2 linked regions of the Oryctolagus cuniculus genome follow. The main gene of each other region encodes a partner of the protein of the gene in region 2 in a complex. Links are inferred from orthologs where the notes say so. Each region holds a gene or a part of one and is shown on either strand. Other genes may lie near its edges. The genes, in order: RNASEH2C and RNASEH2A.

Region 1 (4,314 bases), on a different chromosome or scaffold from region 2:
GGCTGTCCCCCACTGTGCAGCTCAGCCAAGGGGGTCGGCCAGGAACCAAGCTGGGGTTCGCCGAGGTCTCACACTCCAGGGTGACTGCTCCCACCCCATCTTGGCCAGGGCCCCAAACCTCAGCCCACTCTCCCAGATCTGGCTGACCTGCTGCTGCCCACGGCTGTGGCATGAACCCGCACAGCTGAGCAGGAACCCAAGGGTGCCCACCCCCTCCGTGGTCCTTGCAGGCACAGCAGGTCAGGGTGGACGCTGGGACTGGCCAGTGTGCAGCAGGGGCAGGAGAGCAGACAAGCGCGACCGGCCCAGGGCCTTGCCCCTCGGGGTCTGGTGGGGCCAAAGGGGCTTGCGAGGAGCTAACTTCTCGTGGTCAGCTGGAGGAGGGCAGGGGCAGGGAGGCCTCTCTCCAGCTGGGAAGCGCTTGGTGAAGCTCCTTCCTCACCACCACGCAGCCCGCTCCATCCCAGAGCAGCTGGCGAGCCCGAGGTCCCAGCCAGAATGTGACGGACAGAGGGCGGGGTCTGCCCTGCCTCCCTCTGCACCCACACAGCAACGGCCAAGGACATGGGCACCCCCCCAGCCTCGGCTGACTGCAGGTGCCCCCCCCAGCACCCAGGCCAAGGGCGAGCGCCTTCAGGTGGTGGGCAGAGAAGCCACGTGGCTCTAATTCTTAAATGCTTTTCATTTTATTTGAAAGGCAGAGACAGGTCTGGTCAGGGGTTCACTCCCCAGTTGCCCACAGCAGGCAGGGCCGGGCCAGGCTGAAGCCAGCAGCCTGGAGCTCCGCAGGGCCCCACTGGGCGGCAGGGCCCCAGGTCCCTGGTCCGCCTGCACTGCCAGGCTGCAGGTTAGCGGGTGGAGCAGTGGGCGTCCGGCCCGGCCCCCTGCTGCAGGATGTGCCCGCTGCGATGCCACTGTCTGACCGCTTACCCACCTCTCCTGCTCCCCTGCTCCAGGCTATGAGCTCTCCAAGGTGGAAGGGAGAACGGGGACCCCAGAGAAGCCCCTGTCGGACCTGGGCCTGCTGTCCTATCGCAGTTACTGGTCCCAGACCATCCTGGAGATCCTGATGGGGCTCAAGTCCGAGAGTGGGGAGCGGCCGCAGATCACCATCAAGTGAGCCGGCCGCCCCCGGGGGTGCGTGGCTGTCCCCGCCCCGGGCCGCGGGAGACCTGACCTTTGCCCTCCCGCAGTGAGATCAGCGAGATCACCAGCATCAAGAAGGAGGACGTCATCTCCACGCTGCAGTACCTCAACCTCATCAACTACTACAAGGTGGGGCGGGCGGCCAGGGCCGGGCAGTCGGGAAGCCGGTGCGGGCCGGGCGCTGACCCCTGCCGGGCCCTCTCTCGCCCAGGGCCAGTACATCCTCACGCTGTCCGAGGACATCGTGGACGGACACGAGCGGGCAATGCTGAAGCGGCTGCTGCGCATCGACTCCAAGTGTCTGCACTTCACCCCCAAGGACTGGAGCAAGCGGGGGAAGTGGTGACCGGGCCTCCGGGCGCGGGGCCGGCGAGCACGGGACCCGGCGCCCCCAGCAGGCACAGCGCGCGAGGCGCGCAGGGCAGCGCCAGACGGGGCTGGGCCCGCAGGGGCCACGGGTCAGTGCCCAGGCCCGCCGAGGGCTCGGGTCAGCGCCCAGGCTGAGCTGGCTGCGGGCCCGGCCTGCCCTGACCAGGGACCAGGAGGAGCCGGGCGGCTTGTGCAGTGCGCAGGGGCTGGGGGCAACTGTACAGGACACTTTCACTGTAAAAATGGCTTTTGTAAAGTAGAAGGTGGGGGTGGGGTGGCCCTGGCTGCGGCCCCCGCACCAGGCAATAAATCGTTTCCGTAGGCGGAGCCTCCAGGGTTCTGCACAGCTGCGGTGCGGGGCGTACTGGTCGGCAGGTGGGGACGGGCTCCGGCTCTCAGTCCTCCGCCACCTGAGCGTGAATCTGCAAGAGGAGCCGCCTGTAACCGTGCGGGGGCCCGGCCGCCCCCACTGACCCCGTCCGGCGTGGGGGGCCCCGCGCCGCAGCGACCCCGCCCGTGCACTCACCGCGGCCGCGAGGCTCGGCCAAGTCAGGGCCCCGCGCACTTTGGCGTCCGGGCCCGGCACGGTCTCCAGGCCCCACAGCGTGAAGCGGCCGAAGCTGGCGGTGGCGCCCAGAAAGCGGTCCTGGGGAGGGAGGGAGGGAGGCGGCTCAGCCCGGCCCCGCCGCCGCGCCCGCCCCGGGCCCGCCGTGGCTCACCAAGTCCCGCTCCAGCGGCGCCCGCTCCGCGTCCCCGGACCCCGGCCGCCCGTCTGCCTTCTCGGCCGCCAGGACGTAGCCCGCGAAGCCGGCCGGCACCGCCACCTCCTCGCCCCGCAGGCCGCGTCCCCGAAACGACGCCTGGAGTCCTGCAGGAGGGAGGCGCAGGGCCCGCTCAGGGACACCCGGGCCCGGCGCAGCTGGCCCACGACCCCGCCGCCCCCGCCGCCGGGACTAGGGCTCCAGGCGCCCTCGCAGCGCGCGCCGGGGAGCCGCGGGGAGGCGGCCGCCAGCTCACCGTCGGGGCCTCGGCGGACGGCGGGCGTGAAGAAGCGACGCACGGGGGCGGGCCGGCTCGCCAGGACCTCGCAGGGCAGCAGGTGCAGCGTGCCGGGGGCCGCGCCGCGCAGGGAGTCGGGGCGCAGGTGCACGCGGTGCCCCTCCACGGCCGCCTCGCCCGCGCCCTCCATTCCGCGCCGCTAGTCCGTCGCTCGCGGGCGGAGGCCGAAGCTGGCGCGTAAAGCGCGCGGGGCCTCTCGGGAGGTCGGGCGCCGCGGAGCGTCACGGGAAATGTAGTCCTTCCGGGATCCCGCCCGCAAGCCCCGCCCCTCCGCGGAAAGTCCCGGGTGGTTCAGTCACGCAACAGGGCGGGCTCTGCGGGCAAACACGCGCGCACGCGACCGGCCGTGTGCGCGGCGCCCCCGCGGGACCCGCGAGCTGGCCGTGGAGAGTAACAGAAGCGGCGCCCCAGGGCAGCGGCTGTGGCGGCGGGGACCGGGCCGCGCCGCAGCGTTCCCGCAGCGATGGGGCCGCCCGCCGTGGCCCTGTCCGCGCGGGGCCGTGGGCCTCACCCCGCCTGGGGGAGGCCCTGCTTGGGCTGTGTCCGGGACGCCGACACCCGCGGTGCGTGATGGAGCGGCCGCTGCCGCCGCCTCTGGGCCCGCCGCGTTCTAGATTCGTCGTGCAAACCGCAGACGCACGCGGGAGACGCCCACGCGCCTGCGCAATCGGACCCTGCGGGCACAAGCGGTGCGCTCGCAGACGGGGCGGCTGTGGGGCGTGCAGAGCGGGCGCTGGAAAATGGAAGTGAAGATGAGGGGTCAGGGCCGCGGATAAGGCGGCCGCCCGCAGTGCCGCATCCCGCGTGGGCGCCGGTTCGAGTCCCGGCTGCTCCGCTTCCAGTCCGGCTCCCTGTTGATGCGCTGGGACCGCAGTGGAGATGACACAAGTGCCGGGCCCTGCACCCGCGTGAGAGACCTGGAAGAAGCCCCTGGCTTCAAATGCAGCCATTTGGGGAGTGAACCAGCGGATGGAAGTCTCTCTCTCTCTCTGCCTCGCCCTGCCTGTGACTCTGATTTTCAAAAACAAAGGTTATTCCTGGTGCAGCTTTGAAACCCATGCATTTTCTTTTCATAATACACATTTCCATGACCTTTTAAAGAACGCGGCCCCTGTCCCCAGGGGCCAGATACTTACTAATTTTTTTTTTTGATAAATTATTTTGCTGTTCCCAATAGTTTATTTTCTTGGTTTCCCCCAGTTAGTCATCTCTCTCTCAAATACAGATAACTGTGCTGCTTCGTTCCATCTTGCAATTTCTTTTCTTTTTTAAAAGATTTATTTATTTTTACTTGAAAGAGTTACACACACACACACACACACACGGGTCTTCCGTCCGCTGGGTCACTCCCCAATGGTCTCAATGGCCAGAGCTGGGCTGATCTGGAGCCAGGAGCTCTTCCGGGTCTCCCACACGGGTGCAGGGGCCCAGGGACTTGGACCATCTACTGCTTTCCCAGGCCACAGCAGAGAGATGCATCGGAAGTGGAGCAGCCGGGACTTGAACCAGTGCCCATGTGGGATGGCGGCACTGCAGGCGGCAGCTTTAACCTGGGCCGCAGCACCGGCCCAGGGTTTCTTTTTAAATCGGGAACAGATCGTTGGATCTGTCTTGATAGCTTTGGTCCTGTTAGGTTCCCGCTGCCTGGGTTCTGTGATGTCACGTTCATGGGCCTCTGCATTTTGGTGAATCAGGAAGTGGGTCTAGAAGTTCCGCTGGGCTCCTCGGGAGGGCGCGCTG
Region 2 (4,513 bases):
TTTTTTTGGACAGGCAGAGTTAGAGAGAGAGACAGAGAGAAAGGTCTTCCTTTGCTGTTGGTTCACCCTCCAATGGCCGCTGCGGCCAGCGCACTGTGCTGATCCAAAGCCAGGAGCCAGGTGCTTCTCCTGGTCTCCCATGGGGTGCAGGGGCCCAAGCACTTGGGCCATCCTCCACTGCCTTCCTGGGCCACAGCAGAGAGCTGGCCTGGAAGAGGGGCAACCGGGACAGAATCTGGCGCCCCAACCGGGACTAAAACCCAGTGTGCCGGCGCCGCAGGCAGAGGATTAGCCTAGTGAGCCGCGGCGCCGGCCACCACTCTTGAGTTTGGCTTCCTGCTACTGCAGGCCCTGGGAGGCAGCGGTACCAGTTGAAGCGACTGGGTCCCTGGCCCCCATGTGGGACATCCTGGTTGCATTCTGTGTTCCCAGCATCAGCCCTGCCCAGTCCTGGCCAGTGTGGGCAGCTGGAGAGTGAACCAGTCCTTGGGAGCATGTTCCCATGTTTCTCTCTCTGTCTCTGTCTCTCAGGTGCACCTGTATCAGTTTCCAGCCAGGTTCCTGTCCTTAGCAGGTGCCCCATGCCCACACAGTCCAGCCCCCATCCCCCAAGCTCCGTGTCCTGGACCCATCCCGCCTCCGTGCACCGTGCACAGCCTCTAACATGGCTCAGGGCATTGCCTCCTCCGCCTCTCTCTCCCCTCCCCCACCCTGGACACCTGCCCTGTTTCCTTGGTTCCTCCCCCCCCCCCCCAGACTCCAAACCCCTCCCCTGGAGCCTGCTCCCCACGCAGCAGAAGGTTTGCCTTTGCAAAATGTAAATCTCGACATTCAATTTCACCAGCCCGGTGGCACCAATTCACGCAGCCTCGGTAGGGGTGGGGGTGGGGGTGGGGGTGAGGGGAGAAGAAAAGAATGAGATAAAATTACGGTCACGGCCGTCTCGACGCTTGCTCCAGGGCAGAGCGCAGGCTGTTGGGAGAGAACAAGAGGGAGGTGGGCTCAAACCGGCACTGAGAGAGGTGTTGCCAGCATGGTTAGGGTCTGTTTATCCTGCTGTGCCCCAGCACCCGCCACAGCCAGGGTAATCTCTGGACTCAGGAAGTGCTGGGGCCGGTGGCTGGCACTGTGGGCTAGGCAGCTGACCCGGCATCCCCTGGAACAGAGCTGATTCGAACCCTGACTGGCCAGCTTCCAATCCAGCTCCCTGCTAATGCCCCTGGGAGGCAGCAGGTGAAGGGGTCAAGGTACTCCGGCCCCTGCCTCCCGCATGGGAGACTCGGATGGAGTTCTGGGCTCTTGGCTTCAGTCGTGGCCAGAGCAGCCTTTTGGGGAGTGAATCAGCGGACGAAAATCCCTCTCTCTCTCTCTCTCTCTCTCTCTCTCTCTCTCTGGCTGGCACTCAATTAAGTAAATCAATCAATCAATCAGAACAAAAACCAACAAGGGCTTGAGCCAATGAGGGAAAGTGTCTTTGGGCGGTGCCCCCTCCCATGGAGGAGTGTGCCCCCTTAGCCGCAGCAGGTGCCAAGGGCCGCGGGAGGCGGGGCCGGGGGTCGCTGCGCCCGAGGGTCACCGAGTGGAATCCGCATTCCGGGGCAGGTGTTTGTGGACACCGTGGGGCTGCCGGAGACGTACCAGAAGCGGCTGCAGGACTGCTTTCCAGGCATTGAGGTGACGGTGAAGGCCAAGGCGGACGCCCTCTACCCGGTGGTCAGCGCCGCCAGCATCTGTGCCAAGGTGGTGCCCTGCCCCGCCTCAGCCATGCCCCGCCCCGCCCCAGCTCTCAGCGGGCCCTGCCCCCAGCTCCACCCCACCCCACCGTGCCCCGCCCCAGCTCTCAGCATGCCCCGCCCCCATACCTGCCCACCCCACCCCTAGCTCTCAGCTGCCCCATCCTCAGCTCCACCCCACCCCAGCTCCCAGAGGGCCCCCCCAGGCCCTGCCCCCAACCCAGCTCAGCTTCCCTGTGTCCCATCCCTAGCTCCCACTGTGCCTGTCCCAGCCCTGCCCCACCCCACCCACAGCCCTGCCCTGCCTCCGCCCTGCCCACAGCCCCACCCTGCCCGGGCCAGCGGGTGGGGTTCCTGGCTTGCAGGCCCGCAGAGGCTGGAGGTGCCAGGACCACACACACACACACACACACACACCCCACTCGCCCCACAGGTGGCCCGCGATCAGGCTGTGAGGGACTGGAGGTTCGTCGAAGAGCTTCAGGACCTGGATACCGATTACGGCTCAGGCTACCCCAATGGTGAGCGGCTGTTCCTGGGACCGTGGTTAGGATCGAGGCAGGGGCCACGGCCAGGGCTGAGCAGGCCCCTAAGGTCTTCCAGATGTCCTGGCTCACCCTGGTCCACGGTGGGAGAAGCGGGGTCCCAGGCAGCCCCAGGCACTTGGAGGGGCAGAGTGGGAACCCACCCCTCCCTCCTGCATTTCTCCTCCTTGGTCACTGGGTGCTTCCCATTGTGAAAGGTAGAATGGCGGAGAGAGGGAGAGGGAGATCCCCAGATGGCCGCAACGGGCAGGACCAGGCCAGGCCACAGCCAGGAGCCAGGAACTCCATCTGGGGCTCCTCCCACATGGGGGCAGGGATCCAAGCACCTGAGCTATCTCAGGAGACCTTCCCAGGGGCATTAGCAGGGAGCTGAACTGCTTCACTCCCCAAATGCCTGCTATGACTGGGGCTGGGTCCCGGGCCCCACCAGAGCTCTGAGCCTGGAACTCAGCCTGGGTCTGTGTGGGCAGCTTCGATGCTGTCGTGACCGCCAGGCCCCCCGCCTACTCTGTCCCTCCCACTTGTCCCCCAAGCCAGAATGAGCCGGGCTGGCTCCTTCCCAGGGGCCTCAGCTTTGATTTCTTTGTTGTTACTACAACTCGGGGCTCAGTGTTCCTGTCTGCAGAATGGGAACGCTCCATCGTGCACGCCCGAAGCTACTTGCACACACACACACACACACACACAGCAGATGGAAGATTCCAGGTTCAAGGAAGGCTCTGAGCTTTGGAAACCCGGGAAGGGGGCTGGCCGCTGGGTGAGGCTGTGATTGGAGCTCAGATGAGGCTGAGAACAATCGTGGCAACATTCCTTGTTTTTGGAGTTTCTATCCCTGCTGGGCAGGCCTGAGCCCCGGGCCGGGAGGGGCGGGGGGTACAGCAGCCAGCAAGACGAAACACATGTCTGTCTGTCATCCACCGAGCTGGTGGCGGTGCACTGGAGGCTGGGGGGGTGCCGGTTTTACCGTGGTCGGCCCTGGGGGTCCTGGGGAAGTAGCTCCCAAGGTCCCCAGGCCAGGGAGGTGTCCTTAGGATGCCACGAGGAGGAGCTTGGATGTCGCCGTGCCGGCCAGGCTTGTCACCACGGCTCTCCCCCTCCCCACCAGATCCCAAGACGAAAGCGTGGTTGAAGAAGTACGTGGAGCCGGTGTTCGGCTTCCCCCAGTTCGTGCGATTCAGCTGGCGCACGGCCCAGACCATCTTGGAGAAGGAGGCGGAAGGCGTAACGTGGTGGGTGTCCCTCGGTGCTACGGAGAGGGAGGGCGCGGGGCTGGGCCTGGAACTGGCCTGGGAGGCCCGCTCTTCCCCCCACCCCCACGCCACCCCTTGCCGGCAGCGGTCAGTGTGGCCAGCTCTGTCCCCTCCAGGGAGGACACGCCCACCGAGGACCAGGATGGAGCCGGAAGGATCACGTCCTACTTCCTCCACGAAGGCCCCCGAGCCCGCCCCCGCCTCCCCCACCGATACTTCCAGGAGCGGGGCTTGGAGGCAGCCAGCACCCTCTAGAAGGCAGCCCTTAATCTGCCTCTCCCCGCCACCGCCCTCCACACTGAGTAAAGTTGTCTAAGAATAACCAAGCCTCGTGGTTGTGCTCTGGGGGCGGAGGCAGGGGTAGGAGCCTGCCCGTGTGTGGTCCCGGGCACTTCTGCCTTTCGGAACCTAAACAGAACGAGACGTGGGTCCATTTGCTTTCCTTTTTCAATAGGTTCTCTTCCTCTGCTTATGCAAATGGCGGAGCGGTGTGGGCTAGGGGGAGCCTCGTACATCTCCTGGCTTGCACCAGGGAGCCGTTGTCAGCTGACCTGCGTGAGCCCTCCAGGCCCGGCTGGGTCACACCGAGGCAGGAAATCGCACTTTGAGATGCCCCTGTCATTACGTCCCGCGTGACTGACCCTGACGTGTTCCAAGACTCTGATTTGAAGGCAGAGTCACAGAGAGGCCCTCTACCCGCCACCCAGTTCACTCCCCACACAGTTGCTCGCAACTGCTGCAGCTGGGCCAGGCCAAAGCCAGGAGCCAGGTGCTCCCTCCCTGGAGTCCCCAACATGGGTGGCAAGGACCTGAGCTCTCAGGCCGTCTCCTGATGCTCTCCCAGCACACAGCACGGGCAGAGCATCGCATGTGGGGGCCCGACATGTGGGCCCAGAGCAGCAGTGTGTCGTTAGGATGCCCACGAGCCTCTGGGGAGGACCTCGGTTCAGGTCCCAGCTGTGTTGCTGACTGCAGCTTCCTGCTG

What was found.
Region 1: the proteins of RNASEH2A (region 2) and RNASEH2C are in contact, whole or in part, in a crystal structure (PDB 3PUF), measured with the Homo sapiens proteins. The link is inferred for Oryctolagus cuniculus from reciprocal best matches to the Homo sapiens genes RNASEH2A and RNASEH2C. Residues at the interface, in NP_006388.2 of Homo sapiens: Thr11, Asn99, Ser102, Thr103, Leu106, Gly107, Arg108, Val109, Val196, Glu197, Lys198, Leu199, Glu225, Pro226, Val227, Phe228, Gly229, Phe230, Pro231, Gln232, Phe236, Leu245, Ala249, Glu250, Asp251, Val252, Ile253, Trp254, Glu255, Asp256; in NP_115569.2 of Homo sapiens: Pro33, Cys34, Glu35, Val36, Ala37, Val38, Ala42, Pro43, Val44, Gly45, Arg46, Phe47, Phe48, Pro50, Ala51, Arg53, Ser62, Phe63, Arg64, Gly65, Arg66, Cys67, Leu68, Leu134, Glu135, Thr136, Lys143, Gly146, Ala147, Thr149.

Annotation. Positions count from the first base shown.
Region 1 is NC_091432.1:5,998,426-6,002,739, reverse strand, and holds RNASEH2C (ribonuclease H2 subunit C), read right to left. Parts: upstream 2,966-4,314; 5' UTR 2,705-2,965; coding exon 2,533-2,704; intron 2,384-2,532; coding exon 2,235-2,383; intron 2,162-2,234; coding exon 2,042-2,161; intron 1,938-2,041; coding exon 1,911-1,937; 3' UTR 1,651-1,910; coding exon of another isoform or gene 1,194-1,650; 3' UTR 1,117-1,193; coding exon of another isoform or gene 957-1,116; 3' UTR 663-956; downstream 1-662. Other genes in the region: histone acetyltransferase KAT5, read left to right, coding at 957-1,116, 1,194-1,650.
Region 2 is NC_091447.1:62,322,195-62,326,707, forward strand, and holds the end of RNASEH2A (ribonuclease H2 subunit A), read left to right. Parts: intron 1-1,602; coding exon 1,603-1,740; intron 1,741-2,166; coding exon 2,167-2,254; intron 2,255-3,383; coding exon 3,384-3,507; intron 3,508-3,644; coding exon 3,645-3,783; 3' UTR 3,784-3,850; downstream 3,851-4,513. UniProt on the Homo sapiens protein: Catalytic subunit of RNase HII, an endonuclease that specifically degrades the RNA of RNA:DNA hybrids. Participates in DNA replication, possibly by mediating the removal of lagging-strand Okazaki fragment RNA primers during DNA replication.